2 linked regions of the Nothobranchius furzeri genome follow. Each later gene encodes a partner of the first gene's protein in a complex. Links are inferred from orthologs where the notes say so. Each region holds a gene or a part of one and is shown on either strand. Other genes may lie near its edges.

Region 1 (16,324 bases):
ACCAAAAGCTCTTTGATGTTGTCCTTTGTCTTTGGTCAAGAGTTCAAATCCCTGTGATGGTAACATTACATGGTTCTGTTGGATGTTTCTTCCTGTTAAAGGGGAGTTTTCCTCTCCACTGTTGCTACATGCCTTGTTAGTCTGATGATTGCTCCAAAGTCTAACACAACAAGTCAGTGACTCGATGCAATCTTTTGGGTTTCCTTACACAGGAAACTTAAAGTAGCTTTCTGGAGTTTTCCCCTTTCAGAAATGATGTATGATTTGTCAGAAATCTGTAAAAGTGATTATCTTATCATGTTCTGTGATAAAATGTAAGCAATACATCTTTTTATTTTAAATTTCTTTGCTAAGCACGCCCCATGCCCCGCAGAGCTCTGTGCAATAAGAAATTGAGCACCGACCAGAACCAACCAATAGTGTTAGACTACCGCTTACATGCTTCAAATTTAAGGAATACCTTGGCTGATGCAGACTTGATGAACTTTTCAAATAGTAAGTCTTTAAAATATAAATATATGAAAACACAGCATGACACGAGAATAATACTTGTAAAACAACGTGTTTTAGCTCCGTTTGTCAGCTACAGTAGCCCATTAATAAACAAGAAACATGAAATTGTCATCTTAAAAAACGAATCGAGAGACTATTTGTGTGATATGCTTGTCAGCCACTAGATGGTGCCATCGGATAAGAGAAGCACTCCGGAAAAAGAGACTTTAACACCCAAAATGAACTGTATTCAATTATAATGTTTACTACTAACAACATGGTTGACTGTCTTCACACGCTCTCACGCCACACCTTCAATTTCTCACACTGAATAAAGTTCATCTATCCAATCACATTGCATCGCTACTCTACACATTCCCACTACTACAGCGCTACAAACTCTGTTTTAAATTGATTTTAACTAAGCAATGAGAGGAAATTGATGCCTGCCAGTGGTGACAATTCTAAACTACATTTTAATTCTATTTAACCATTTAAAGGTGTGGTTGACTCATTTAATTAATACATTTGCAGTGGTCTCTAATAGGAATTAATGCCTTCTAAGACTCATTATGTGGGAAAAAAAGCTCCGGTGGACTTGTTTGAGGAACTACACGTGAGCCATTTTAGAGTTGAGCTGAACGCGACAGGATTTGGAGTCTTATTTCCTGATATTTGGACATCTCTCTTCTAACAGCATTGTGACTCTCCCACTGACTCTTTGCTTTGCAACGTTGATGTTTTATCTCCACAAATAACACAAGCCTGAAGAAGTTCTGCTGTGGGGCGGAGTTGCTGATGCTAATGGTTAGCTTCTACGAGTCGCCGTCGCAAGTCAAGATGGATGAGTCCATGAATGTTAAGTGACAGTTTGTAGATCTCTCAGTATTTTTCAGTGAATTTCAGTGAACCACACCTTTAAAGGTGCATTATGTAGAAATGAAGTAAAAATTACATCCTGTGGTAAAATTTGGTTACTGCAACCTCAACAACTCTGAAGATTTTTGCCAGCCGTTATCAAATTGCAATTGTTGGCACTGCAGCATCAGTTCACAGGAGACACGGCAACCCCACACTCACTGATGGTAAACAGTAGTTACATCCCTCCTTCCTTTGTTTTGAATGGAAAAAAACTGACAATCCCTGCAGCCAGCTGGATGTGTCATGCCCATCTACCGTGGTCCGAGGAACACCCGACCTTGGTTTTTCTACACGGGTGTTATTGTGCACAGGGGGCAGCTGTGTGGAGTTGAAAATAATGAACTTCATAACCTTACACCCAAAAGAATGAAAAAGTGAATGTCAATGTGGCAAAAAACGCAATTTCCTAATTCCGCTTGTTTTGTGCCATGGATTTCACATATGATGTCCGTGAATTTTATAGACACATTTTGATACCACGAATGTGCTTATTTTCGAACGGGGGAAATGCTATTTTAGGTTTTGTGTGAAAACCAGTCCAGGACTACAAATGCGCTTCACAAAAGTGACATCATCGAACCAGACATGGAGAAAACTGAGGGAAAATAGCTGTAAGTTCAGCAAACTTCCCACAGGAGGAAATAACCACCATAGATCTGGTCATTTGGTAAGTAGCAGCTACGCTAGGGAAGAGGAGATTGTGTGGCGACTTGCCAATTTCTGATGTGTATGTTAATTACGAACTTTTACAAGCTGAGAAATCTCAAAGTGCGTGACTGGCATGGTCAAAACACCCACCATTACTTTTCATTTATATTGCAGTACAACATATGTGCGATCCAGGGCATAAGGCTAAGCAGATTAGAAAATTGCGTTTTTAGCCCCGTTGACTTGCATTAATTTTTTTTGTTCTTCCAGGGAGGGAGGAGGGGCTCCCTTCCTTGCAAAATGCCTGAAACATTAGACTCTTGTAATTTTCTCTCTGTAAAATTCTCACTATATTATTTAATAATGCACCTTTGAAAAAAACATTTTTTCCTCTTCATATCAATAAAGAAAACTCTTTGTTTGTCCTCTTGGGACCATCAATTATAAGGAGAAGAGGGAAGAACATTCTTTAAAATAACAGGGCTAAGGGCATTTGTGGTATTGACAACGGGGGAACTTGCTTAAGTCTTTTTTTTCATATTTTTCAGCTAAAAACACAATTAAAGCTGCATTTTTGCGTGTTAAAAACGACGACTGTATAGAGTCTGCTAAACCCAGCTAGCTGCAGGCGCTAAAGTTTTCATGGACTTTTTATATGTGACAAGAGGTATTGGCGCCCTCCAGTGGCCTTAAGCTGGAACTACACTTTAGTTCTGTTCAACCTTCTAAGAACATTTTAGCCTCTTTATCTAAATAAAGCTGAAAAACTATCTGTGTTTGTCCTCTTGGGAGCAACAATATTAAGGAGGAGGAGGAGAGGGATGTACTTAGTTATTTTGATGTTATTCAAAATAACAGAGCTATGGGCATTTGTCTGTTGGCAACAGAGGAACTCGCTGTAATCGTATTTTTTCTTATATTTTCAGCTAAAAACAATAAAAACTGTATTTATGTAACAGTGGTTGTATAGTATTGAGTCTGCTAACCCCTGTCAGCTACAGGTTTTCCTCATGGTTTCCCTGGACCTTTAAAAACGAGAAGGGGTATTGGCACCCTCCAGTGGCTATAAGCTGGAAGTACAGTTTAGTTCAGTTATACCCAGGTGTAGGGAACCCTGATCCTGGAGTTACTATCCAGCAGGTTTTAGACGTTTCCCTGCTTCAGCACTGTTGATTCACCTGTTCAGCAGCTCACCAGGCTTAGTAGAAGCCAGTTAATCACCTGCTGATTAAAATCAGATGTGTTGAAGCAGGTAAACCTCCAAAACATGCTGGACATTTTAGGTTCCCTACCCCTGATCTAAAAGAACATTTTAGCATCCTTATCTCAATGAAGATGAAAAAAAAATCCTAATCTTAGTTCTTGTCCTCTTGGGAGCATTAATATTATAGAGAAGAAGAAACTACCTTCAAAAAGTTACAGTATCTCCCTAGAAACACTTTCTGTAAATTCTTTCATAATAAAACGCTGTGGCGTTTAGGTCTTAGCAACAGGGGAACTAACTAAACCCTATTTATGCAACATCATGATGGTACTAATGGAATTTGTTCCTAAGCTGTTTGGATCACCACTCACATCAAAATGACAAAAATCCAGTGGTGAAAAAGTTTTCACCAGTAAAAACTTAACTAACAGGAGGTGGCTCACTTTTAGTGAGAGACTCACACAATGTTTTGTTTTGTGGTAAAGGAGCTGATTATGTTAACATTTATTATAGCTGTGTGGTGTTTTTACATATCAGTGATCCCAACTTCCATTTTGCCTCTGAAAAAAGAAATCACATTATCTCTTTGATAGAAATTATTCTACTGGTCTTTGCTTCCCAATTAACCCTAAAATTGCTCAAACTGGACAGAGTAACAGCATCATTTTTGCTAAATCTAATGTGGTCCCTGGTTCACAAGCTCATCAATGACCTTTTCGTTTAAATAGTGTATGTTGGACACGCCGAGTGGAAAAACGCATCAAACATTAAAAACTGTGGACCATTTTGATGACTTTTACCAGTGGTGTCCAACTCTAGGTCCGTATCCTGTAATGTTTTAGTTGTTTCCCTGCTCCAACGGTCTTCGTCACATGGTTGAATCACCTGTTCAGCTGCTCATCAGGCTCTGCATAAGCCTGTTAATCACCTACTGATTAAAATCAGGTGCGTGGCCCTTGAGGACCAGAGTTGGACACCACAGGTGATGGAGCAGCCATCTGGAGGTAAACCACAGCCGCCTCTGCAGCCTCAGGGAGAAACGTTACAGAAGTAATTTAGTTTTACTAAATCTGCAACCACATCAAACACAGTTTAATAACGGAGGTATCAAAGTAGTTTAAAGAACATTTATAACTGAAAAGCTTTTATGTACATTATGTTTTAAGAGCAAGTCACCCCCAAATCAACTTTTTTTTTCGAATAAACTATATAAATGCGTGTCTAATTGTGCTGCAGACACGTGTAGTCAATAGTTTAACACTTTAGTGCATTTCTTGTTAAAATTTTAATTTTCTGCCTAAAACTGTCAGGTAAAAACTCTGCACTGCATTTGAATTTAAATCTGCCATCGCTATTGGCTAAGAGGTACCCTGTATTTGTTAGCGGCTCCGCCCTCTCGGTCTGCTGGGCAACAGCATTTGTTGCATTTTTCAAACAGGAAGTGGGAGTTGAGTACGAATCTGGTAGGGGGTGACTTGCTCTTTAAGCTTTAGATTACAAACCCATCAATGCTTGTTTAAAAGCTTCTAGATGAACATATTTGATCATTTTTACTATTAACGAGCCAAACACCGCTTCATAAAATACCTGTACCTAAGAAAAAGTTCAACATCCAAACTGATTAGTTTTTTATTTGTGTAAAACAGAAACTTCTGCAATCAAACTTATTATAGTAAAGTTGAATATCTTAAAACTGTGATTTTTAACGCTGAATACAAATATGAGAACGTTACTGAGTGTCTGCAGTAAAATAGTGAAAAACATAACATAAACAAGTTTCCTATTGATGTGAAGCTCATTTCTAAACCGATCTCAAGTTGTCTTAGTGAACATAAGTTATCAGATCTGTAACTGGAACAATGTTTGGCTTCTAAATCAGAAAAAAAAAACACTAGAAATTTGAACACTGGTGTGATTTATTTACTCTGTACCAACGGACACGGATCAGTTCACAACAACAAAACAAACGTTTGACAATAAGACAATAAAAGTGAAGAATTTACGACTCAAATGTTTAACAGAAATTTCCCAGAATCCTTAGAGAGCTGTGAATAGGTTTAATAAATAGTGAATAAAGCTGTAAACGTAGAATATTGTTTAGTTAGGTTTCCCAGAAAGCCTGTCTGCTGCAAACACCGTTAGTGTCCTCCACATCGCTCTTGCTGCTCATAAAAACGCCTTTTATGATTAAAAAGCAGCTACGTAACTGCTAAGAGTTTAAGGTGCCAAAAACACTTTTTCCTCCCGGCTGAATCCAAAGTTCCACATAAACAATAATATTAATTCTTAGCTGCAGCTGATGGAAGTGATGCATTTAAGTGTAAGGAATGTGTTTTTAAATTATGTTTAAACTTCAACAGCTGAAACACGATACGCTGGATAGAAACGTGAGCAGAGGAAGGATTAAGGCCGAAGAGTGAAACAGAGATGAGTCCGGATCCACTTCCTGCTTCCAGCTGAGGGGAGTTTATGTGAGGGTAGCGGTGTTTGTGAGGATGATGATGGGCTAGCTGAGGAGGTCGGGCTGCAGGTGGACCCTCTGCAGGACGTCCTCCGGCATGCACAGAACCGGATTTACTGCCTTGATCTGCTCGTCGCCGAGGAGAGAGAGACCGGCGATCCCGAACAGAGTGTGGAAAGGATCCACCTGCAGAGGAGAGACCAGAACATTCAGAACACTGGAGGAAAATCTGAGCTCTGCTTTTCAGAACACGTCTCACCACGTCTCCTGGTCGGTCTGCAAAACCTCCCGTCTCCTCGTCCTGACAGGCCAGAATAAACCGCCGCAGCTTGGCTTTGTCGATCCAGTGGATCCGGCCGATGATCTTCAGCGATGCCAGAACCCACCACGAGTAGCAAACATCTGGGAGCTGCGTCAGATGGAGGTTTGATTAAAGACAAGTCTTAAAAAAAGGGTTTCTTTGGTCATTTTTCCAAACAAATCTAAAACCAAACATCATCAGGAGGTGGCAGACCTTCTCTGGTCTCCCGTTGAGGCCTCCAGATGGCAGCTGCCTCTCACAGAGCCACCAGCCCAACAGGTCGGCGTTCAGCTGGTGCAGCTGGCCAGTGAGCGACAGGAAACCAGTGCAGCAGTAAATCTTATGAAAGCGTAAAAAAGCAACAGGGGGTTTAATGTCAGAAGATTTTTCATTCTATTATAAATTGAACCTTTAGGTTTTTTTACATTGTTGTTTGGGGACAAAAACTCACCTGACCAGCGTGAGACTCTGAACCAGGTCTGCAGCCAAAACCTCCATCAAAATTCATACAGGACAGGACGAACTCAACCGCCTTGTCTACGTTTATCGAGTCCATTTTCCCCTGGGAAAGGACAGATGAAGACTAGAAAGTAATCTTCAGAGGTATGGTTAATCTGACTAAATAACAAACTCACGACCTCCTTTAAAAAGTTCACAGACATCAGGAAAAAAGATGCAACTGAGTGAGTTTTATCACAGAACTGTTGGTTCAGCCTGCATTACGGTTATTTTCAGACAAACCCGTACGTACCAGTAACGCTAGCGTAGCAACCGCACAGAAAGAAAAGCGTGTGTCTATTTCTCCTGAAAAGAACGAAAACTTCAGTTACGATAAAGATCTTTAAATAATCTTATAGTTAAAGCTTGTGCACAATTCCAGATGCAGCTCCTTATTCTCAGACATCTAAGAGTTTGTTGTGCAGGTTTCTCTAAAGAGCTGCTTTGCTTTGTGAAAATGACTTTTTATTTTTACTCTAAATGAAAGAGAGAGTAAAGCTCGCTCACCCCATTTGTCCCCTGCAAAAGAGCCATCCTCCTGCTGAAGCCCTTTCACATATTCCACCACTTTGTCAACATCGATCGCATCCAGGCTGTCATACAAGCACAAGATCTGAGAAAGACGTGTAAAAATAAAAAGATGTCAACTAAAAACCTTAAAGAAAAACACATGTGATCGTTTAGCTCATCTGAGTTTTCCTCACATCCTTAGCATTTGTGATTTATTATAATGAGGCTTTGTGTCACCTGGATGGCGCTGAGGGTGTACAGCAGGTGTGGGTCATGTCCAATACTGGCGCTGACGCCTCCACACTCGTGTTGGCAGGCTTTGATGAAGTCTATGATCTCCTGACGGCTCATCCTGGGCAGCTGACCCATCAGATCCATCACCGTCAGCCCCCAGTAGATACCGCTCATCCTCAGGTACTCTGACAGTGTGTACTCCTGCAGCACAGAGGTGTCAGATTTCATTAACACCAAAGACCAGGTACAGTTTGATTTTGGGTTTAAAACATTATTTAATTCCTGTTGCAAAAACCCGTTAAACCAAAGTAAAATTTCTTATTTGTGCACACAATCTTAACCAGTGAATCAGATGATCAGGCTGCTGTAGTTGCTGAGAGTTGTGGAGGGCAGTTCAAAATTTTGCCTTCTTGGCAATCTGTTTTGGGTCCAGGGGAGATCCCCACTGATGTGGGTGCTCATGAGACGTGAGGGCCGTCTCTTTAGTCTTATAATTATTTTTTAAAATGTACATCTTTGGTTTCTTTAAAGCATTTTCTGTCTTTTTTAATATACTTTGTGGAAAATTGGGACAAAAAACTTACCTTTTAAAACACCTGAATGCATCTTTTATCTTAACCCAAAATAAATAAATAAAACGTTTAAAACTTCTGAAACGAGGTTTTATCGACAGAGGCAGATAAAAACGAGACGACACAAATCCTACAAACTAAGTGTAAATAAAACGTCACTCACATAGTCGTCCTTCTTGGACCCGTAGGCAGCGATGTAATCTGCATGTTTGTCCAGCAGCAGCCAGCTGGGAGCGTCAGGTTTAATGATGACATCTTTTAGTTGAGCACTCTGACAAAAACACAACAGAAACGGTCACAAGACACAACTACGCTGTAGTTAAACGAATACAGGAGGACACATTGTTATGACTAGCTGCTAAATGCTAACAAGGGTAGCATCCACTTCGGCACAGCATTTAAATAAAGAAGACAAGATAACATTTACACACACTTTAATTATAAAACGATGCTCTAAAGCACAGAAGAACAAGTGACGGATTACCATTCTGACATATTTTGCATGGTCAAGCTACTTCCGGCCTTCTTCTTCTACGGTTTTAAATGTCGTATAGTTTCAGACTTTACCGCCACCTTCTGGTTTGATTGAAGTATTACAAGAACAAAATATCAATTTGAGTTATTTATTGTGCGGTTTTGAAATCAAAAATACTAAGTGTTTTGTATTTGTACTTTTAGTGATAGTATAGTAAAAATATGTAACTATTCTAGGGAAAAAACTGGAAAAGTTACTTTTACTTTACTTTTACTTTGCCCATCAGCCAAGGCCAACATTAGAAACCTAGGAGTTATTTTTGATCCAGCTTTAAGTTTAGACTCACGTCAAAACCATCTCCCGCTCTTGTTTCTTTCAACTGAGAAACATTTCAAAAGTCCGTAAACTGGTTTCTACTGCAGATCTGGAAAAAATCATCCATGCCTTTGTGTCATCACGCTTAGACTACTGTAACGCTCTTTTTACTGGTCTCAGCAAAACCTCCCTCTCACGCCTTCAAGCCATCCAAAATGCAGCAGCTGGACTCCTAACCAAATCCAGCAGACGAGCTCACATCACTCCAGTTTTACAGTCCCTCCACTGGCTCCCGGTAGAATATAGAATACAGTTTAAAGTTTTAGTCCTCCTGACCTATAGAGCTCTTAACAACCAGGCTCCAAGCTACCTATCTGAGCTTTTATCCCCACACATCACCTCTCGGAACTTAGATCCACATCTGAAAACCTCCTGGCTGTTCCTCGAACCAGACTGTAAACCAAAGGGGACAGGGCCTTTCAGACTATTGGCCCCAGACTTTGGAACAGTCTACCTTCAAATCTCCGTCTCTCTAACACTGTAGAGGTCTTTAAAAATCATCTAAAAACTCACCTTTTCATCCAGGCGTTACCTCCCTAAATGTTTCAAAAAGATGGTTTTGTTCGAGTTCACACCTTCCCTTTGTTTATACTCATGATTTTATTTTCTACGTTTATCACTGCTATTGTTTTTCAGATGTTTTTATTGGTTAGAGGTATTTGCTCTGATCTTTATCATGTTGTGATTTATATCTGTGAAAGGCGCTATATAAATAAACTTTTACTTATTCATCAAAAAGCTTCCTTTAAATTATACCATTAGCTATCATATTTAAAACACCTATTCTTCAGGAAATACATCAGTAAAGTTTTAACAGAAACTAGATTTAAAAACGGCTACAAATACGTAAAAATGTAACATGACTAACATTTAAAGCGTTAAATGTTTGTTTACAATCAGTACATATAATGGTGATCAGTTTTTTTTTTTCATTAATACATTTAGGATTTCCTTTGTTCACTCATCCAAAAGAATGACCGACATCCATAAAACCAAACCATATAATCCAGAATGAATTTATTAAGTGGACGGCTCAGAAAAATCATACAGCATTACATCCAACATTAGTGAGCAAGTGTGCAGAAGTTTACCATAATGTTGATAATGTCTGCTGAGTGGAACTGGCTGACAGCATGCAGAATTACTTCCACACATTCTAGTGTTAAATGAATTTATACAACTTTACACATTTGACCAGAGTCAGTTGTGTGTTTAAGGCATGACTACAGGCATGAAGACAAGTTAACAAAAATCACAAAGGTGTGAGCCAAGTCTGAACTTTGACCTTCAACCGGATTTTCATTAAAAAAAACATCTTTATCAACAAAACACTCGTGAACGAGAATAACTGCAACAGTTTTAGTTCAGAAACAGATTTCCTTCTAAACACATTTATTTGTATCCTGCTGATGATCATTTCCAACCTGAACAGACTCTCTTTCCTTCACATTCAAAAGATGTTTTTGTACAAAATGTGCTAAACTGGAAACAACACGATTATTTATGTCTTAAAAATGTTTCCTTTTCGTGGTCTGAACTTGTTTGATACTGCAGAGCAGAATGAATCCGTTTTAAGGCAAACAACATCTAGAGCTGCATCCTGAGGCCAGATTAGTTTGACAGGAGCTTATTTATATCCAAAGTACAATATTTAAATGCAGAAGAAGAAAAGTCAAACAGCTGATTTCATTTCTGGAATCTTCCTAGGTGTTCTCTGGCAATGATGAGCCTTTGGATTTGAGCTGTGCCTTCATAGATCTACAAAAGAACAGATTCAATTTAAAATGAAAGCCTCCAGCTTCACCTGCATGCAAAGGCAACACCCACCTGGTAGATCTTTGCATCCCTCATCAGCTTCTCCACCGGGTACTCGCTGTTGAAGCCGTTGCCTCCAAAAATCTGAACGGCATCAGAAGCCACCTGATTGGCGATGTCTCCAGCGAAGGCCTTGGCGATGGAGGCGTAATAAGTGTTTCTGCGACCCTGATCCCGTTCCCAAGCGGACCGCTGGTACGCCATCCGGGCCAGCTCCACCTTCATGGCCATCTCAGCCAGCAGGAACGACACGGCTTGATGCTGCCAGACACAAACAGTTTACCCATCTTGTCAGGTGCATTTCTATTAAAGGATTTCATTAAAAACAAACCTCAGCAATCGCTTTGCCAAATGTCTTCCTCTCCAGGGCGTAGTTAGTGGCTTCATCCAGCGCTCTCTGTGCCAGACCTGTTGCTCCTGCTGCTACCTGCACAGCATCAAGTACAGTAATTAGCCAAAACATACTTCAGTTACCTCTGAGGATTCCACTGGAGGACGTGAACCACAAATCAAAGATCGGCAAATAAAGTTTTTTCCATGTTTTCAATTAGCAACTTGGACACAAACTCATTAAGTGTGGTTGATAGATGCTGGCTCCAGCTGGAGAACCTACTGGTGGTCTGGTGTTGTCAAAGGCACCCATGGCGATTTTGAAACCAGCTCCCTCTGTGATCAGGACGTTCTCCTTGGGTATTCTGACATCTTCAAACGTAATGCCTCTGGTGTCAGAGCACCTCTGGCCCATGTTCATCTCCTGCAGGGGCAAAAGCAAATATAAGATTCCTCTGTTAGCGAGAAAATTTAAAGAAATGAACCTGAGAGCTAATGGAAAGGCTTAAATGTGTCAAACTAAGTGATGTTTCCTTACAGAAAATAAGAATCCCATCCTACCTTCCTTCCTGGTTGAATTCCTGGAGTGTCTGCATCTACAATGAAGCCAGTGAAAGCTTTGCTAGCTGGACATTTGGGATCAGCTTCGGTTCGGGCGAGGAGGAAATACCTGAGATAAATAATAATTAAATAAGTAGATGTAAAAAGAAAACTGCAATAAAAGCCTAAAATGCAGTAAACACAGACCAGTTAGCTTTCCCTCCGTTAGTAATCCACATCTTCTGCCCGTTAACGACATACTCGTCACCCATCTTCACAGCTCGGGTCTTTATACCGGCCACATCAGAACCCGCCCCGGGTTCGGTCACACAGTACGCCTAACGAGAACAAAAGAAATCTTATCAATAAGACCGAATCCACCCTGCGACAGCTTCGTCTTTGTTTCTGTTGATGGCAGGTTGTAAAAAGATCATTAAAGATACAAAAACCAGTCCGGACACATGAAGAACATCCTGTGACCAGCGACCACGGTGGCTCGTACTACCGTCTGAAAACTAGAGAAGCAGAAAACGCTGAAGGACACACTTACACACATGAGCGGCTCCTCCGTCATCCTGCCCAGATATTTCTTCTTTTGTGCATCGCTGCCAGCCAGGATAACAGGCATTTGCTGCGTGGCAGAAACAGTATGAAGTTCATTCTAACGGAGCTATAACATTCATCACTCATTAGGGAGGTACATCAAACTAGAGCAGAAATAGATTCAACAGCAAAACCGGCCCTGGAAACTACATCTAAACAAAGGTTTTGTGGGATAATACTAACATTTCCAGACAAAGCTTCGTTTTATTGATCCGAGTTAGAGACAAAGGTTTATTGTGCCACCAGAAATCTGTGGCCACGCTCACGTGTGTTAACTGCTGTGAGACTTACTCCCAGAGAATTGGCCTCGATGGCGGTTTGCATTCCTGTGCAGGCGTAAGCCAACTCCTCTGTGATGAGGCAGCTGTCGAAGATCGACAAACCCAATCCACCTGAGACAAGAAGGGCAGGTGCAGCAGTGGGTCAGACGTTAATCCGCCAGCTCGTCAGAAACAGTTATCCACAAACAAGATGCATAAAAATAAAGAAAAGACAGCGTGTGTTGTTTAAAAAGCACAAGAAGCGCACCGTATTCCTGTGGGATGTGACCGTTCACCAGGCCGAGCTCCCATGCCTTCTTAATGATGGGGAATGGATACTGTAAAAAAGCATTTTAAAGTTTCTCATTAGAGATAACCGTCATGGCTGAAACACACAGCAGCAGGACTGGATCTAGCACCACCTAAAAGGCACGATTACATTCTATAAAGGGTTTGAATCCCTGACATATCTATTGTTCCTTTTTAGGGATTTTGCTTAGAAAAATTTACTCTACTATTGATTTGCAATGTTGATGTTTTACCTCCATAAAAAACACAAGCCTGAAGGAGTTTTGCTGTGTGGTGGAGTTGCTAATGCTAACAGTTAGCGTCTACTAGTCGAGATGTTCTCTGCTGTTTCCTGGATGCTAAACAAACAACAGCCTTCACCATTGTGAGTCAAGATGGGTGAGTCCATGAATGTTAAGTGACAGCGTGACATAGATCTGTCAGGATTTTCTATCCTAGAGTTTCACCGTCTGCTTTCTATCAGATGCTAATGCAGGAGATAGGTGTAGGAGACTATTTTCATGTTCAGTTTGCATGAAAAACTCAGAGACTCATTATCAGAAATAATCAATAAAATGTTTTTTTTTTCAGGGAATCACACCTTTAATTTAATTAGCCTAAAAGCCTTTTTTGAGTTTCTGTAAAAAGACAAAAAGGTTTAACTGTTGAAAGCTGGTCAGGGTTAGCACTGAAGGATGGAGACACCTTCATGCTAAAGTCCTACTAGTGCAGTTGTTATGAAAATTACTTATTACTTAAATGTAATTTCTACTTGTTTATACATTTTCTGATTTCATCAGTAAGAATATTATTTAGACAAGGATAAATCATTATGATGACACGTTTCACCTTTATGTTAATATTGTTTTATTTGATGCACTCCACTTTGATCAGCACCAGTCCATCAACTGCTGCATTTTAATAACTAGTATTAAAGGTGAGTACACCAATATTTGCACAAAAATAATTTTTGTTTTAAACTCTCAGTGACACACTTTGCAGGGGGGATTTGGTATTTAATTTTTCTTGGCGTCTGGAAAAACATCTTCTGCCCCCCTTTATTTGACTTTCTGCCCCCTTTATTTTGGTCCAAGATCATTACTGGGCTGGCCCTATTGAAAACATTCTTCACCCCTGCTTGGTAGACTTAATGAATTATTTTTAAGCCAGTATAAAAATGACTGAAACACAAATTTGGCATTATTGACCAATATCTTTGATTTCAAGATGTATTACAGTGAACATTATAGTAAAGTAAATTTTTCTAGTGCAGAGAGGATACAACCCATAGAAGCACTGATTTGATCTCATTTCAGAGAAAAATAGAACAGGTTAGATGCACCTAATAAATAAAATTACTAACAAACTCAAAGATCTGTTTCTTTGCTTCATTGTTGTCAATATATCGTGATATATTTTCTAGCAATATTATATCAATATTCAAAAGCCGCATATCTAATTTTGGGAAGAATTTACATTAAAACATTTGTGTATTTTCTTTTTTTTGTGTGCAATTCAAACATCAACCGCTAGTTGGCAGCAGTGTGCAGTTGGTTTTGTTTCCACCATTGAAATGTAACGCCGGGGACACACCGGCCGCGGAAGCGCCGAGAAGCGAATCGCTCACGAAATTCGGCCGCTGATCGCCGCTCCTCAGTTCAGATCAGGCGCGCCCCAGTCGAGGCGCGCCTCGGCTCAGCTGTAGTTTTTCTTTTAAACACTTGGTGTCCTCCATTTCCTCTCTGCCTTTTCTCAGCTCTTTTCCTCTACGTTTGAGTGTGTGTGTGTGTGTGTGTGTGTGTGTGTGTGTGTGTGTGTGTGTGTGTGTGTGTGTGTGTGTGTGTGTGTGTGTGTGAACCTATGGTATGAGTTGTTTCTGCCAGTTGAATCTCTTGGAACCCGCTCCAATTCTGGATCACGTATCACGCTGTATCCTAGCAGTTTCTTCCGAAATGGGACGTAAATAATCATGCCAGAATTGACGCGATTCACCCGCGGCTCGCGAAAAAAATAGAGCCAACGCCGAAATGATCGCTGCACGGCGCGGCCTTGAGCGCCGGCGCGAGGCAATTCGCGGCGCTTCGGCGGCCCATGTGGTCTATAGAATAGCTTAACAAGGGCGCCGAATGAAGGCGGTCCCATTTTCGCGGCGCTTCCGCGGCCAGTGTGTCCCCGGCGTAAATCCCTGTAACATGGTTCAGATACCTCATGTTAAACACCAGTTTGGACTGTTAATTGAATTCTATATTAAATTCAGTCTAAAAAAAGCGCTACAATTGTCTGAATGTATTGTAATATATTGTGATATATTGCATCGTCTCCCTTTTATCATGATACGTATCGTATCACCCTAATTTCACCAATACACATCCCTAGTGTCGAGTCAGTGTTATTTTTTCTGCTCCATCACAATTTAACAGCTAAATGACCTAAGCAGCATGTCCACAAGTTCTTCAGAAACCCCTTAAACACCCCATAAGTCTAGGTAATCTAAAACATGCAGGGCAGTTGCTCTCAGGATGGAACGACAGGTTTAAACTAATACACAACTCAAAGGCCTAAAAGGTGACGAACCTTTTGCATGACTCTTGCTACTCTGATGTTAAAAGTAGTGTGATATTTATTGGACATGAACATTTTAGCCCCATGTTTGCTGCTCTTACTTCCCCACTCCTGTCATAAGCAGCTGCAACAGGGATCATCTCTTCTCGAGCAAACCTCCTCGCCAGCTGCTGGAACTCCTTCTGCTGATCCGTCAGTTCTACAGAATAGGAGAAAATTATTTCTCCACAGTGAAAAGACTTTTAGGGACAGAATTTCTTCCCACAGGACTGTGATTTAAAAAACACACTGTACCCCACTAACCAAAAGAAAAGCCAGGTGCTCCTGCATGGCCAGCTGCTGCAGCTTTGGCTGCAGTCACGCCAGAGCTCTGCAGACGAATCCCAGACTGAAGACTGGCTCTGAAGACCTGTGCAAGATCAAAACTGAAGTTGTTTTCACACTTTAAAGTTGAAAATTTTCAAAAAACAAACAAAAGAAACTACTAGCTGGTGTATTTGATCAGATAATATAAGCACAAAACTAAATAAAAAAACAATCACATCTAAAGACATCAACTCATGGAAAATGGACCAGGACAGCAAAGTGTGACTGCAAATTTTACTTGGCCAGAGAATATTAAAAACACACAGTGGAAGAATTGTAGTTGTAAGTGGTAGTATTTGAGTGGTAGTATTATTAATGGTGATTAAGTCCCCCAAAATCCCAGGGGAGGTCATCATCAATAGGAGTTCCCATATGAACTCAAAAAGTCCTGTTACTAAATTATATTAACCACCTATTAACATAAAACATCTGTAAACAAACAAGCTTCTTGCTTCCAACATTAAATCTGTTTAAAGTCTGATATTAAGACAAATGACATTCAAAGAGATAACAGATTGAAATCTGAATTAGAAATATAAAAAAAAACAGCTGAATCATTAAACATAGTTTAGTGGAGTTACACACTATAACGTCTATATTATGTTTTACTATAATGACTTGGCTGTAATGAGCAGGTGTTACATTGAATGAAGCGTTTAGACGTGAACCTTTGGGCAAAGCAATGAGCTGGTTAAGCTCAAGGAGCTTCAATAGCTTAGTTTCAAATAATAAAAAGGCAGAACAAAGATCAGAGAACGGGTGCTCTACTGTTCAGGGTCCTTTCAAGAGAAGACCACCTGACTAGAAAAAGCTAATGTGGTTTTTCATGTCATGCTCATCAAATTGGAACTCGTCAGATTTGCAGCTTT
Region 2 (16,495 bases), on another chromosome or scaffold:
GCCCTGGGGCGCACTGACAGAGGCGGGGCTGCCGAGCACTGCCACCACTGGTCCCTCCGACCACCACCAGCAGGCCCAAGGACACAACGACAGCGACAGACTGAGCGGGACTCAAACCTGCAACCTTCCGATTACGGGGCGAGCGCTTAACTCCTGTGTCACCTTCGCCCCTAATTTCATATAAAACAAAAGCTACTCCATGGATGCTCGTTTAACCCTCCCACTGTCCTAATGGTCCATGTGGCAGGGGTGAGGAGTGAGCACCACCTCACCCCTGCCACATGGACCTCAAAGGATAAACCATCAATCCTGCTCAATGGTCAGCTTCTCTCGCGGGGTCACACCCATTAGGACAGTGGGAGGGTTAAAAACATGCAGCCGCTTCATTCTGCAAGAATAAAATGAAAGCAGCATTCCTGACATGGGGGTTGTTTTTATAGTCAGGCCTAAGATTTTAATGCTTTAGCAGTAAACAGGTCCAAAGTCCCGGACCCAAAAGCAAACAGAAGCGTTTGAGTGATTATAAAGTTAAAGTGTGAAAGAATTTTAGGAAAATTATATTTATTTAGCCAAAAAGATGAAAGGATTTTTATACTTAAGATAAGTGCTTCACAAAAACCATAAAACTGCTTTAAAAACCGTGATCATAATTAAAAAATGGGTTAAAATTAAGATTAAAAATGAAAAGTAAAAAATGAACTAAATGATGTATTATAGCTTTTTTTAAATTACTCACTGAAAACTGATCTTCTGCCTTGTTTGACTCCCAGTTTATGAGCCTCTCCCTTATTTAGTGGTTTAAGCTGCTTAAAGGAAACGGCCTGTTTCTGTTTGCTGTTGACTCAACCACGGTTTGTAATGGCTTCAACCGAACGCACAACTATAAACACGTCTGCTCACCAGGGATGATCCCACTGGTCCTGGTTAGTGGGTCCTCTGTGCACGAAGCACAAGTAGCAGCTGCAGTGGAAACTTGGGGGACACACACATAAATCCTTAAAATCATTACAATCAGTAAAGACTACATCTCTGTAAAATCTGGAGCACAAAAATGCTCCAAAGGAACGCTGGTTTCATTGCTTCTGCAAGAAAAAGCACGAGTTAACTCTTGTTCTGTTTCTAACACCTTTCTATTCCTTGCTGTAAACCTAATTAAACACAGAAAAATGTTAATATCTTTTATTTTCTCATAGGTCACATTAAATAAGTTGTATTTATGGGATCTCCGCACACTGGCTGTGGGAATAATGGACTTTGCTCCACAACAAAGACTTTAACCTAAAGCCTTTTTATTTGCTGCAGGTCTGTGAACCACAAGATGTTAAATCATTAAGACCCACAGAGATAGTTTGCACTTTCCACCCTGATGAGCCTGAATTGATTTCTAAGAATCACAAAGAACAAATGATGTAGCTCACCATTGCTCTGTTGGTGCACAAGCTGCTCTCCGAGAACCACCTGAAAAGTAAAAAACATCACTCCTCATTAAGGATGTCAGTTTGAAACCAGTCACTTCTATCAACTAGAATATTAAACCAAAGATAAATCCTGAGATAAGACGGAGTTTGGGCTTAATCAAGTCGGGCTGCAAATGGAAACTTGTTGCAGGAAGTCCACAGCAGGAAAATCAGCGTCGCGACCGTGGAAAAGATAAGACAAGCATGCAAAGAATACAAATACTATGCTAGACACGTATTTATTAAATGTTTAGTTCAGTTTTAACCGTGAAATTTTAAATAACTTCAGTGACGTCATGTTTAGGTTTTAAAGGTGAATTAACGCGGATTCCCCAAAGATTCGCGCTTCTTTTGGCAGAAAATCCTTTGTTAGTGTCCTTTAGCTCCTCACCTGTGAGTTGGAACTTTCATTAACGACAACAAAGCTCCTGTTTTCCATCCTCGATCACATATTTCCCGCGTCGGAAACTCCGAACTGTCCTTCTCACTTTCAGCTGCACGCTCACGCTGCCCTCTGTGCTGCGTTCAAGAGCTCCTTCAAAACTCGGATTTTCCACAAACACAGATGTTTATCGCTGATTGCACCGGACTGGATCAAATTATTCAGCTAATCTGTTTTCCTAATGAAAAGAACGGATGTGTTTAATTATCTTGCATTATTAGTAACTTATGTTGTCCCGTTTATTTTAAAAGTTGTTTTCAGTTTTTCCTTCTTGGAAAGCGCATCGAACTATGCATGAAATGTGTTATATTCAAATTAAAGCTATCTTATTATTTTTAAATTAAAATAAAAGCTTTATTAGCTTCATCTCAGAAAGCCAACAGCTCACTATAACTGACTTTTGCACACGAATAAAAAAAATGAAACCATACATCAGACATTTATGCTTTTTATCTAAGCAAGAGTAGTGTTTTTACAGAAAGTAAGTTACAGGTTTTATTTTCAAAAAATATGTGCTGCACATGGAGCTGCAACAAGCAACAGTCGAGATCTGATAATACAGTTGGAAGTTTTCAAAAGACAAAAAAGTGAAAATCAACCCTGGACAAGCTTGGAGTTGGTCAAAAGAAAAAGCATGCAAGGTTTGTAACTTATGAAAATTTATATATATGTATGTATATATATATATATATATATATATATATATATATATATATATTCCTCTTCATGTTAAAGAAACAGTCTGCAGACGTTGCACCAAAGTTTACACAACAGAAAGCAGAGACTGCACAATCTTCTCAGCATTAACACAGCGTGCAGCTGGAGGTTGGAAGAGTATCAGCGATATATACACACACACACACACACACACGTCAGAGAAACATCGAAAACACACAACCAAAGGCACGGACTCTTGAAATGACGTTTTCTCCAGTCGTGTAAAGAAAATGAAGAATGGCAGCTGTAGGGCGACTGTAAAAGCCAGATGTGCTATTACTGAGTACTTCCTGTCCCATTTTTAATTATCATACCCATTCAAGATGACTAGAGTGCAGAAAATGAAACGAGCACCTAGACCTCCCAGAATGACCTCCGTTTTTAAGGGTGAAGTGCTTCTTGGATTTAGAGGTACAAGAACAAAATCCAGGACAGCAGCTTTAAGTGAGTTCTTATCAGAAGTTTCAGGAACTCTTTGCAAACGAGGACAAACAAAACTGGGAGTTTCCAAACATTTTACAGCTAATTGTCCACATTATCAGCTTATCACAGACTCATCCAAACAGGAATGTTGAAGACTTCATCTAACATCATTAAATAGACCGAAAAAGAAAACAAAGCAGTTGTGTAAGTAAATGCAGAGCAGCTCAATGTTAATTAAAATATGTAAAAGTCTGATGTCAAACATCCAAGTTGTTTAGAAGACCGCGTTAAACACCGAGGCTTCATTAGAGCGGTGATGTAAATAAACAGAGCCCCCTAGTGGGCAAACGGGGTAAGGAGAAAACCAGTTTCCAAAAGTTCAACGGCGACGTCACCAGATTGTCAGTTATCATGAAGCAGAAAGCACAAGTGTGGTTAATACTCGCTCAGTGTTTTAAGAGATCAAGCGATTAGCTTTTGATTCGATCTGAATAACATCAAAGGGGTTTAAAAGGTGTCGATGACATCACCAGCACATAACGTCACGCTATAATGTCCTCAGTTGGTAAGAAACAGCACACAGACGTTCACTCCTTCCCCCGACCAAACCCCATCACTCCTGCAGCCCCCATCAGTCACCCCGCTGAAACTGGCCACCCCGTTCTGCTCTCATCCCGGCGCTCCGTCCCGGTGGAGAGCCGGTGCATGATGGGGGTTGTAGGAAAAGCAGAAAGGCAGAGAGTTGTCCCCACGAGGACGAGGCAGCAGCATCACATGATTTCACAGCACGAGTTCTGTTTCCGTGCCTGAAGGGTCGACAGAAAAACCAGAGTTTTAAAACAGAAGCAGACGAGGTCAGAGTTGGACGTGAAACGAGACGAGCCGACGGGACTTACGGTCTTGTAGAAGGCTTTGGACTGATTTCCCAGGTGCTCTGACTTCGCAACCAGGTCATCCAGTTTCTCTCCTCTTTCCAACAGACTTTCCATGGTGTTGTGCTGCAGAGAGTTTATACGTGAAACAGTGCAGAGATTAGGATTCAGAATTATCCAGAGAAAACCGCTAAAGCCTACTTCTTAAAGCCACAGGCTCTGGATGTTGACGTCTGACAGGATGTGAAACACACCACCTAGAGATCAACCCTCTGGGCTCCAGGGTGTAATTTGCCGTTTTTGACTAATTTAGAGTTTTCTTTTGTATTTCCAAAATAAAAGCCATAAGCACTGCCTTATGTGGTATCAATCTTTTCAGCACAACCTGGACTTTATGGATTTATACTTATTTTTTATATTTGGACATAAAGGGGTTGCATATTAGACCTTAAATCACTCAAAAACATAAAATCCGAATAGGAAAAAAGTTGTTTATTTTACTGTGAAACCAACAAACATTTATGACGAATGTTTTTTATAATTTAGAATGGTAATTTAGGCTGTACATTTATAAAAAAAAAATATATGAATAAATATAGCAAATAACACATTAAAAATAAATTATTAGCCCTCTGGGGTCCAGGATGTAAATCACCGTTTTTGACTCATTTTGGTTTTTCTAGTAAAAACAAATTTTGCCTTATGGGGCATAATTTTTTCAGGACAGTCTGGACTATCTGAATTTATACTAATTTTATTGATTTGGCAATAATGTACATGCATTTTGGAGTGGGGAGTGGCTCTGTCTCACGCCGCGGAGATCGAGATCTGACAGCTGCGCGGCGCCGCCCACTCGTCTCGTTGGATCTCCGAGGAGCTGGATCTCTGCCGTCATCCTCTACCTCATCATGACCCAACTCTTCTATGAGGAAGGATGGATCCGCCACATCGTCATCAACATCCTCGCTATTTGCCTCAAACTCCGGCTGTGAGTCTCCGCCCACTTCCTCTGCTTCCAGTTCCAAAAACAGCCGTACTATCTGACCTGCCTGGTGGACATTTATCCTTCTCATCATCCTTTATTAAAGCCTAATAAAAGCCCACTAAACTGCAGAGACGATATATCTGTCCGGATCGCTCCAAAATATGAAGTTTACCGTCAATATCTGTCTAATTGTTTGTTGTTACTCCGTTGGCGCCACTCCTTTCCCCGCCAAGCGGCTCCTTTTGGCGCACACCTCGTTACTCGTGCAGCCTTCCTCTCTCTCTCAGCTACATAATGATGCTTTTTATCAGCTGAATATGTGAGACTTCCACCAACAGCAACAGGATCTCATGTTTTTATGTTCACAAGCACGTTCCCTCTCACGGATCATTAAACTGCTGTTTTGACAAGTTATCAGATTGTCTAAAAATAGGTCGTTTTTTTAGTTTAGCATAACTCCGCTTTTACGTTGCCTATTAACAACATTTAAAAACTGGGGTGTAGTTTAAAATCTCCTTTTTAAAGCTGAATTGAAACCGAAACTCAGGGAGGCGGAGTCTTGCTGCTACAGCGTCCCAAATCAGACCTGTTAAAGACGCGGATGCGCGTCCACGGACCCCCGAGGGTTAAACAGCTCCTGTCACATTCCAACACGATGACACATTTGCCATCGAACCACAGCCGCGGCTCAGACTCCTACAGCCTAGTCTATATGTTTACATCAGCTCTGTGATGGAGACGAAGCGCCGCTGATGCAATAGCCTGAAAAGAGGGTGACGGAGACACGCCCACATTTTTTACTTTCTTTTGAAAACAACAGAAACCGCAAGTCTGCGAATGATCAGGATGCCACTTCCTTTAAATCTGTCAACAGCAGAGCCATCAACGGGGAACTGCTTGGCAACAGTCCAGGCGATGGAGAGGTCTGAAAGGTGAACGTCTCCGCTGATGCGTGTGCACGACTACACACCCGAGCGTTTTCTGTCTGTATTCTATCAGAAGCTAAAGCAGGAAATAGGTGTAAGAGACTATTTTCTTCTTCAGCCTGCATCCTAAACTCTCAGTGACTTACTTTCAAAAAGAAGTAAACAAACAAATAAAATAAAAGTTTCTCAGAGGAGCTGGCCTTTAAAGAATGTGAACGTATTTTACCAAAATGATCTTGGTCTCATCCAGCTCTGCCTGCACTTTGGTCATTGCATCAGCTTCTCTGGGATTCTGAGGGGGAAACAGATGATCAGCTGTAAGAATCTGTTTGACGAGATTCATAAAAAGCCACAAATATGATAAAATACACGATGGTGTGTGACGCCGTTTAACTAACCTGGTACTTAGAAAGGTGAATGTCCAGAGCTTTGTAGTGGACGGTGTCAGGACTCCCGGATGGCCAGTCTACACTGTCCACTTGCCTGGAGAACTCATCTAATACCTGAGAGACAGAGCAGTCTAAAAGCTGCTGTTCAGAGCAAAGCGCTGCAGCAGCACGCTAAACGTTTTACTCACCTTTTCAAGCAGCGTGAAGCAGACCCTCTGTGGATATTCAGTGTCTGCGATCACCACACCACCCAAGTTGTCGTTTCTCACGTACACATGGCACAGGTACTCTGCAGAAGTGGAAATAAGTCAAATCTCGGGTTGTCACGGTAACCGGTGTAGCGGTAAACCCCGGTAAAAGAAGTTGACAGTAATAATAACTGTTACGGTTGCCAGTGTGGCCAGTGGAGAGAAGCAGCCCGACACCGCCCCTCCTCCTCGTCTCTCCCGGGCTGCTGAGGAGCACAGCTGCGAGGAATCTACCTGATGAGCAAACACCTGGATAAAAGGGCTGTGCCCTCAGCAGTGCAGGGGTTCTGCTGTCCTCCCGGTTTTGTTTGTTTTCAACCCCTTTCGTTTGGACGAGTTTTAAACTTTGGCAGTTTTGAACTCTTGGTGATAAGTTTTTCTGGACGATCCAGTGGGATCTTTTTGGCTGTTTGGTTTTAAGGTTAACTTGGTTTGTGCAATTTTACTGACCTCGGTTTTTAAACACCTTCGTGTGGTGAAGCTTTTAATATAAGTTTTAACCCGGTGTTTTATAGCTGATAATTTGCTGTGTAATGTTAACCTTTTAGAGAGATCTGTTTGCTTTTTTTTTAATACCTTTTTGTTACCATTAAACCCATTTTAAACTCCTCCGCCAGTTCTTATGTTACCCCCATCCTTCACATTCTTACAACACCCGTCGGGGACGTAACAATAACCGTCTTGTTTAAAAACTATATTATCTCGGTGGATCACCGTGGCTGCGGTGTAGGCGTGGTGACCCTTACCAGCCACCGTATCATCTGCTGAAGTTGCCGGCGGCACATGCGCACTTTGTTGTTTACAACCAAAACTTTCTTGAAGCTAAAGCTGAAATAATGGCCAAAGGAGGAGACGGCAGCGCTCAGGAGGACATTTATTATCCCTCAAAGAAGACAAAGTGGGAAGTACGGCATTTTTTGGATATTTGAAGAATGCCGAGGGACAGCTGATAGAGGACGGCTATCCTGTTTGCAGCACGTGGGGAGCGGTGAGCTGCAGCAGTGGCTGTGCTCTGGAACTATTTGGTGGTCTAACCCCCCAATCCAACCCCTTAAAGCTGAGCGTCAATCATTGGGTCCCATTTTTAAAGACTTTGGCATGACCTGCCTGGGATCTGAACCTGATCTCCCAGTCCCAGGGTGGACACTCTACCACTAGGCCATGTAGAAAGTTTAACATCCAGTTACTGACACTCAGCCACGTTTAGATCAAACACTGCCTGTTCAAAAACAAGTCACAAGCCGGATTTAACAGAGCAAACAAATAAATAATAAATAAATAATATACAATATATAAATGTATATAACAATGTCAACTGTGAAAGGCTGGTTCAGGGATCATGAGACATCATTTTATTCTGGACACCAGATTCCCAACCTGAAACCCACTGAGGATCTTTGGGACTCAGAAATAAATAGTGATGTTTAGCAAAATAATGCAAAAGGGAATCTGTCACGATCAATACAGGATGGGCAGTTCGTGCTTTTTGATACAGCGAGGACTAAAGCTACTATTTTTAAGAATAATTATGAAATATTTATATAAGCCAACATTTTAAAATATATATATATATGTATATCTTAATGAAATACCAAGAAAAAAATAAGCTTTTTAAAATACTAATATTTAGTATTTTTATTTATTTTAAAAAGTCCACATTTTTGTTTCTCTTTAGTTATGGATAAACAAAGAAGCTTCATTTGCTACTTTGTGCGTTATGTCTTTATTCTCAACTTCAAACTGACAGAAAAAAGTGAGAAAACATGTAGAAAATAACCTCAACATCAATGTTTTTCTTAACATCTAAAAGATCCTTTACACTCTTGTTCTTACTCCTGAGAACCCAACATGGTTTTGTCGTCATGACCAGGTAGAAGATCAAATACAAGTCTTTAAAACGGACCACACCAGCCTTACCTTGTTCTTTGACGGAGGCACGGGTTCCTTGAGATGTTCGTTCAACAATCAGTGCACTGGTGAAGGTCATGAACTCTTGAACACTGAATTTACAAAATAAAACATCATCACTGATGGTAGTCTAATGAAAACAGTAAGCAAGTATGATATGTGATCCACGAGTTTAGGCGTTTGACAGAGTTTTAGTACCAAATACTTCAAACACCATTAACACCAACAAAGACTAGAGCGTTTAATCTATACGTAAATACTGGGAGGCACCTGGAGCGCTGGAAGAAGCTGAAGGATGACAGGTCATAGGCCGCTTTCAGGAGATTGGCTTTGGTCGACCCTTTATAGTGGACGCTGAGGCTGTAGAGCTTCATGATACCACCGGATCAGCTCAGGTCTGTAGAGCGGTCACAATCACGAGAGTATTACCTGTTAGCCAGCAGCTGGTTAGCGTCCCTGCTAAACTTGCTAGAAGCGAAACAGACTTAGCTTACGAGCGAAAGTACTGACAGCTAGCAGGCTGTTTGCTTGACTTAGCTTCTGGTAACTTGTTTTGTATGTTTTTGTTTATTTGTAAAGACGAACCCGTTTTAATTCAGCTTCATGAGTTAAATAAGCTAACCAGATATGCTACATTGTAGAAGAGGCCTGAGCCAAACTCACCGGAAGATTCAGCAGCGAAACACCCGATTTAAACCAGAACAACAAAAAAGATCAACAAGAGGCTCTACAGCGCGACTGCAAGAATTATCAGTGTTGTCTCAAAGGGAGAATTTGTACTTCAGTAATCAGTTTCCACGTCAGAACCAGTAGACGTTCCCATCTACATGAGCGTTTTGACGTCACTTCCGTGTTTGGGAAAACGGCTCCGCCTGCGTTAATAAAAGCGCGCCAGATCCTTTTGGAGGATTTTGAGGACTTGAAAACTATGAAGAGGGAAAAGAAAACTAAACTAAATATGGAATAATAGAATTTTTAAAGGCATTTGCTCATTACAGAGGATGCTCCACTTTATTATATTTTGTTCCAAATTAGGGAAAAGAACATTTTTGTTATTTTTTTCCTCTGAATATTTTTCAGGGTTACTAATAAATACTCTATTAATGTTAACAACAACAGCAATAATAATAATAATAATCTATAATATTAAATAATAATAATATTATTATCATTGATGTTCTCACTCCCTGTAAATATTCGGTTATTTTGTTTGCACAGGATTTTTTATGCAGTAATTTCATTTGAGTCCTTTAACTAATTTGTCCTAATGCTTCAAAAACTTTAAAATCTGCTATTGTCTGGTTGCTGCTTTCTGAAGAATGTCTAAGCTAATTGAGAAGTCGTAATAAAAATACAAGACGGTTTTTTAAAATCAATAATACTGTTTTCTTTTTCATCTACCAGTCATTTTGCCAAGCAAAAACATGGCGCCATCAACTGATCTCCTCTGTGGTAATGTTGGTCCATTTAACAATTTCCTCCTGGCCACTTAACTTACGGTAAGTAAGTGTTTTCCATGTCAGTAGTGTGCCTGTTGCTAATTTCCCAGGTAACATAAAATGGGAACTGCTAAGGCTTCAGATGCATCTGTTGGATCAGCTACACCACGGGAGGAAGGGAAACATCTTTCCTGGAATTAGCTCTAGTTTTGCTCACAGACAACCTTGTCCAGGAGGATTTCAGACTCTAATGGGAAGTTTGAATAATCTATCTTCATTTTTGTTCTTTTTTTTATTCCAAATCAGTGCTCTGGATTTTATTTTAACGTGTTTTTTGTCCTGGGACGAAACATTAAGAATGTTATGCAGAAAGTTAATAGTATAGCCTACACTTTTTGGGGGTCAACAAGGCAGTTTTTCAGAGTGAAGCTGTAGCTTTTTTTTTAAATCACTTTGAATCTTAAACATTTTTCTTCCAGATCGCTCTTTACACTCTGCCATAAAATATGCATAAGATTCCAAATTCTTCATTTTTGCACCAAATGACTTCTTGTACTGCAAGAATGAACAAAAGCCCGTAGATTATTTAAAGATTGGGTTTTTTTGGGGGAGGTGGTATTTTGATGATATCCTTTCAGAGTTTACCAGCCAGGTCTTAAAAAGCACTGTGGAGAACTTTCATCGAGCAATATGTAGATGACACATGGGGGAAAAAGGCCTGATAGGTCTGACGTCTCATTTGCAGAATCAATTATTTCTAACGTTGTGAATGGGCACAGAGAAAAAACATTCATAGAGGACAAACGGGGAACTCCAGACTCCATTAAAGTTCTGCTGCAGAGCACCGATGGTCAGCGGCGCGTCCAGGATTTAACCCTCACTGTGAAAGGATGGAAAAGGTAACAGTTCATCTCTCTCTGTGTGTTTGTGAGAGCTAGATTTAGACAGCAGAGGAAGCAATCTCATTTGAGCTAAGTGGCTGAAAAAGAGTCACAGATTTTCCTAGAAAGGTCTTATTTTATGAGGAAAATCTTACAGCAAATCTGCAAAAACAACAATTTTCCAGCTCACTTCCTTTACTGTAACAATATAGAGTTTGATATTTAATCCCATTTATTTAGTTTACTTATCCAAATGTAGTCATTAATAAATTAAATCAAAACTCCAACAGCAGTTCTAAACAAACCTGTTCCTGTTTTACTTATAAGACAATTATTTCCATCTGGTTGTGCTTAAATAAGCATCTCTACAAATACATTACTGCAAACAATGTCATTAGTCTTAAATATTATTCATTTAGTTGATATATTTTCTTTAAATACAAACTAGGGATTAGTATTGATCGCGTGTGTGAACTCTAACTTCTTTAAACAGAAACTCAGGTGTGAATGAAGTGAATAATATAAAATGTGTTGCGCTGATAGTTCTAAAACACACGTTTTGGAAATTTCCATGGATTTATAAACTTTTTGCATCATATGCAACTAAGTTTTGTGACTCAAAATTTCTACTAAAAGTAACATTTTTTTATTCTAAAAAATAACGTCCGTAATGTTTTTTGTTGCATTTCATAATTAATAAATTATTTTAAGCTACGTTTTAATTTTAGACATCTCACAAACCACACTTTCTGCAATTATTTTGAGCCATACCCCAGAATAAAAACTATTATTGTCATCTGCAAATAAAATAAAATATAATAGACTTTATTAACCCCACACCGACTAAAGCAGCACATCTGCTTAGAGAAAAAAGGAAGAAGAGAATAATAACGAGATTTCAGATAAACACACAAAGGTAATGAGCTATCAATGTTTATTTATGTTTATTTATTTATTTGTGTAACCTTCAACCACTAAAAACAATGAATGAAAAGGAAACTTGGGTTTCCAGAACTATGCAGCATAATGAACTCAGACATATTACGTCAGGTACTGCACAAGTATTGAACACATACTGAATACCACACTGATGTCATTGTGTACCAGGATAATGCCAGTACCAGTTAAACTGACAATTTACGCACTATTACTGCAGAGGGGATGAATGACCTACGGTAGTGTTCTGTTTTACATCTGGGATGTCTTAGTCTACCTCTGAAGGAGCTGTCCATGGTCCCCACAATGGAACACGGTGGGTAGGAGGGGTTTCCCAAGATGGAGGTCATCTTCCTTAGCATCCTCCTTCCACACATCATCCTCAGCTGAATCTAGTTGGCAGCCCAGAACAGAGCTAGCTTTATTTTACTAGCTTGTTCAGTCTCCTCCTGTCTCGGTCAGAGCTGCCTGCACCCCAACAGACCACGGCAGAATGAATAACAGAGCTGACAGCAGAGTGATAAAAGAATTTTAGCAGATGTGAATTAAATCTGATGGACCTCAGCCTCCTCAGGAATACAGAGCATCTGTGTTGTTGGACCAGTTCAGTTTACTGATGACGTGAACACTAATGGTATCCACCACCTCAACGTCTGCACCTGGATGTTTACCGGTGAGTGAGGAGGAGTGTTTCTCTGGAAGCCAATCACCATTTCCTTTGTTTTACTGGTGTTTAATTGAAGGTGGTTATGCTCACACCAGTCTACAAGGTCCATGATGACTGTCATGTGAATAGATACAGTGCGTATGCCTTTAAGACTTGCCTGAAGGGGGAGGAGTTTGGAGGGAGTTCGGCGGGCTGAGAAATAAACACAGCACCTCTCGAGCTGAAGGACGTTGAGTCATGTATTACGTTGGTCATACATAGAACATGGTGTCAGAAGTTAAGCGGTGAATATGGCCAAGTTTAACCCTCCCGACAACTTTGACTTCACCCGCCTGGAGCAGTGGCCGGAGTGGAGGCAGCGGTTCCAGCGTTGACGGCTAGCAACTAAGCTAAACCTCGAGGATGGAGCTGTGCAGGTTAGCACCCTACTCTACGCGCTTGGCAAGGAAGCGGAACAAGTGTTTAACACTCTGCGGTTCAATGAGGAGGAGGATGAGGAGGACTATGACACGGTATTGGGAAAGCTAAATAATTACTTCATTCCAAAAGTTAACGTCATCCACGAACGAGCACGGTTTTACCTCCGCTCGCAAAAGAAGGGTGAGTCCGCGGAGGAATACATACGTACACTCTATGAACTGGCCGAGACCTGTCAGTTTGGTCCGGCGAAGATTGAAAACATTCGCGACAAGTTAGTGGTTGGGATCCTGGACAAAGACATGTCAGAGAAACTACAGTTAAAAGCCGACCTCACACTGGAGAAAGCCGTGGAGATGGTGAGACAGTCTGAGCAGATAAAGAGGCAAGTTAGCCAGCAAGCTAAGGCTGACACGGGAGATGCAGCAGCTCTGAGTGAGGTTAGACACAATGTGCGTGCTGCGCCTTCCCAACAACACAGAGGAAGAGAGAGGGCGCGGGGCGGCGGCGGGCCCCAGGCGCCAGGGCAACGCGACGGCAGCGCTGCAGAATCTAAATGCTTCAGGTGCGGACGAGATCACAGGAGCAATACGCTGTGTGCAGCCAGGCAAGCAAAATGCAGAAACTGCCATAAAATTGGACACTTTGCCGCCGTGTGCCGCTCTGCAAGAGTAAACGAAATAAAAACAAGAGAGAGGCTGGATGAAAATTTCAACGAGGGGCACTTCCTGGGCGAGATAAAAACAACACAACTTTATGTAACTGACTCTAATAAGCCATGGACTGTCCAACCAAACATCTGCGGTACCTCTGTCAGCTTCAAAATTGATACTGGTGCAGATGCCAGTGTAATTTCGGACGACACCTATCATCGCTTCAACAGCTCGCCCCAACTATCAAGCGCTCACACAGATTTCGACAGCCCTGGTGGAAGGCTCAACTGTCTAGGACTGTTCACTGCCACTACAAAATATAAAGGGCAAAGTTACAGGTTCAGTATCCACGTCATGGAAACAACTAACAGCAGCAACTTAGTAGGCCGTGATGTTGCTGTGGCGATGGGACTGGTGAAGAAAGTGGAAGAGGTGAGAAGCACGTCCGGGACGGATCTAGGCCTCCTAAAAATAAAACCTGTGAAAATACATCTGCAGGACGACGCTGTCCCCTACAGCATCAGCACAGCCAGGCGAGTGTCTGCCCCCTTCTCTCCAAAGTCAAGAACGAGCTCGACAGGATGCTGAAATGCAACGCCATAGAAGAAATAACAGAGCCAACAGAGTGGTGTGCTCCCACAGTTCCAGTCCCAAAGAAAAATGGCGAGGTATGGATTTGTGTTGATCTGAAGACACTGAACATGGCAGTGAAGAGGGAACGATTTGTCCTACCCACCATAGATGGTATATTGCCGAGGCTAGCAGAGTCTAGAGTATTCTCTCTACTGGACGCAGCAAGCGGCTTCCGGCAAATCCCACTTGAGAGAGGAACAGCTAAACTAACCACGTTCATTACCCCAGTGGGTCGGTTCTTTTTCAAGCGACTGCCCTTTGGAATCTCCAGTGCGCCAGAAAGTTTCCAGAGGGAAATGTCTGTGCCGTTCAGAGGACAGGAGGGAGTGGAAGTGTACATGGATGACATCCTCGTCCATGGCAGAGATGATAAAGAACACAAAGAGAGACTCCAAAATGCTCTGTGCATCCTGAAAAGTGCAGACCTAGAACTGAACAATGTGAAATGTTTCCTGAGACAAAGACAGCTGAGCTATTTGGGACATCGAATTGGCGGTGACGGCATTCAGCCTGATCCCTCTAAAGTAGCCGCCATCACAGAGCTACAGCCCCCAACTGACGTGCCTGGCTTGAGGAGGTTCCTGGGCATGGTCCATTACCTTGGACGCTTCCTGCCCAACTTATCTGAAGTGATAAAGCCACTCAATGACCTGCTGAGGAGCAGAGCAGTGCAGACCTGGGACACAGCACAAGATAACGCATTCAACAAGGTAAAACAACTCATTTCCACCGCACCTTCACTTGCATTCTATAATGTAACCAAACCAACCGTGGTGAGTGCAGACGCGAGCAGCTACGGGCTAGGTGGGGTACTGTTACAGAGACACTCAGATGGACTGAAACCATTAGCTTTCTGTTCAAGATCATTGACTGAAGCTGAGATGCGCCAAGCACAAATAGAAAAAGAATGCCTGGCTGCAGTTTGGTCCTGCAAGAGATTTTCCACTTACCTATATGGCCTGAACAACTTTACGGTCCACACAGACCACAAACCGCTGGTTCCCCTAATTAACAACAAAGATCTTGATAGGGTCCCCTTGAGGAGCCAGCAGTTGCTGATGCGGATGATGAAGTATAACCCCATCACAGAGTACGTGCCGGGGAAAACACTGACAGTAGCCGACATGCTTTCCAGACAGCCATTACCTGTAATAACAAGTGAAGTGTCCGAGCTAACGTATGATGATTCAGAGTTTGAAGATGCAGCTCACACGGCGTGGCCAATGTCACCTTCCAAACTGGAATGGATCAAGCAGGAGACGAGTGTGGATCATGGCCTGCAGGTGGTGAACAGACTGATCTTGGAGGGATGGCCAAAGTATGTGGGGAGTGTACCCACACAAGCTAAAGCCCATCACCACTGCAGTAACAGCCTGTCGATATCAAAGGGTCTTGTGCTGTATGGAGACCGCATCGTGATTCCCCAAAGTATGAGAAAAGAGATCCTTCACCGGTTACATGATGTGCACCAAGGCATCACCAAGTGCAAGGAACGAGCGCGCATGAGTGTGTGGTGGCCCGGACTAGAAAAAGACATCCAGGAACTGGTGACAAAATGTCTGGAGTGCATGAGAGTCAGACCTACACAACGGAAGGAGCCTCTGATCACAACACCACTACCACAGAGGCCCTGGCAATCGATAGGCGCGGACATCTGGGAGTATGAAAAAGAACATTACTTGGTAGTTGTGGACTTTTATTCTTGTTATTTAGAGTTGGCTCACCTACCGGACATGAAGAGACCAAATGGTCCCGCCTGAAAAACATGTTTGCTAGCCGGGGTTGTCCAGAAGAACTCACCACTGACGATGCTACACAGTTTACGAGCAAAGAGTTTGACAGTTTTTCTGTAGCCTATGATTTCAGGCACATCACCTCCAGCCCCCACTATCCTCAGGCCAATGGTAAGGCTGAGAGAGCTGTTCAGACAGCAAAGAGGATTCTCCGGCAGGACGACCAGTTTTTGGCTCTCATGGCCTACAGAGCCACACCAGTACAAGCCACAGGCGCCAGTCCGGCCCAGCTGATGATGGGTCGTCAGATTAAGACGACTGTACCTACAGTCGGTAAGGTTCTGCTGCCTAAGTGGCCCAACTTCGCAAAGGTGCGTGCAGCCGATGCCAAGGCGAACAGGAGCTACGAACGTGTCTACAACCGACGCCATGGTGCCAGAGCACTCCCACCCCTTACACCCGGGCAGGATGTGGCGGAGAAACTTGATGGTGATTCTGGCTGGACATCTGCGGCAAAGGTCCAACAACCACATCCCGCTCCAAGGTCCTACCTGATCCAGACAGAGCACGGGACACTGCGGAGGAACAGGCGCCACCTACGACCAATATTCCTTCCTGGTGTGGCAGATCAGCCACCACCACCATCGTCAACACCCCATCACCCCAACGACGCGTGTATGGTTGGGTTGTGTCCTGTTGCCTTCATCCTTTGACGAAGAAAAAAAAAGTGTTGGTGATCGTTTGCAATTATTGTGATTGACTCTTTGGT

The links.
Region 2: the proteins of rabggtb (region 1) and ykt6 are in contact, whole or in part, in a crystal structure (PDB 6J7F), measured with the Homo sapiens proteins. The link is inferred for Nothobranchius furzeri from reciprocal best matches to the Homo sapiens genes RABGGTB and YKT6. Residues at the interface, in NP_004573.2 of Homo sapiens: Thr3, Pro4, Gln5, Lys6, Asp7, Ile9, Lys11, Tyr37, Leu45, Trp52, Leu236, Asp238, Cys240, Arg281, Gly283, Asp284, Met285, Asp287, Phe289, His290; in NP_006546.1 of Homo sapiens: Lys60, Gln62, Asp63, Leu65, Asn83, Glu84, Tyr85, Pro86, Ser87, Leu153, Asn155, Thr156, Glu158, Arg189, Lys190, Cys194, Cys195.

The regions. Positions count from the first base shown.
Region 1 is NC_091751.1:41,392,718-41,409,041, reverse strand, and holds rabggtb (geranylgeranyl transferase type-2 subunit beta), read right to left. Parts: upstream 8,450-16,324; 5' UTR 8,329-8,449; coding exon 8,326-8,328; intron 8,113-8,325; coding exon 8,005-8,112; intron 7,471-8,004; coding exon 7,273-7,470; intron 7,139-7,272; coding exon 7,033-7,138; intron 6,832-7,032; coding exon 6,779-6,831; intron 6,590-6,778; coding exon 6,479-6,589; intron 6,367-6,478; coding exon 6,241-6,366; intron 6,136-6,240; coding exon 5,986-6,135; intron 5,913-5,985; coding exon 5,772-5,912; 3' UTR 5,164-5,771; downstream 1-5,163. Other genes in the region: acadm (medium-chain specific acyl-CoA dehydrogenase, mitochondrial), read right to left, coding at 10,378-10,449, 10,519-10,767, 10,838-10,933, 11,120-11,260, 11,398-11,506, 11,584-11,714, 11,927-12,007, 12,271-12,371 and 3 more. UniProt on the Homo sapiens protein: Catalyzes the transfer of a geranylgeranyl moiety from geranylgeranyl diphosphate to both cysteines of Rab proteins with the C-terminal sequence -XXCC, -XCXC and -CCXX, such as RAB1A, RAB3A, RAB5A and RAB7A.
Region 2 is NC_091757.1:56,084,318-56,100,812, forward strand, and holds ykt6 (synaptobrevin homolog YKT6), read right to left. Parts: upstream 9,224-16,495; 5' UTR 9,031-9,223; intron 8,797-9,030; 5' UTR 8,742-8,796; coding exon 8,638-8,741; intron 8,460-8,637; coding exon 8,377-8,459; intron 6,501-8,376; coding exon 6,400-6,500; intron 6,326-6,399; coding exon 6,221-6,325; intron 6,115-6,220; coding exon 6,049-6,114; intron 4,038-6,048; coding exon 3,936-4,037; intron 3,846-3,935; coding exon 3,810-3,845; 3' UTR 2,335-3,809; downstream 1-2,334. Other genes in the region: uncharacterized protein, read right to left, coding at 901-972, 1,419-1,458, 1,849-1,896. UniProt on the Homo sapiens protein: Vesicular soluble NSF attachment protein receptor (v-SNARE) mediating vesicle docking and fusion to a specific acceptor cellular compartment. Functions in endoplasmic reticulum to Golgi transport; as part of a SNARE complex composed of GOSR1, GOSR2 and STX5.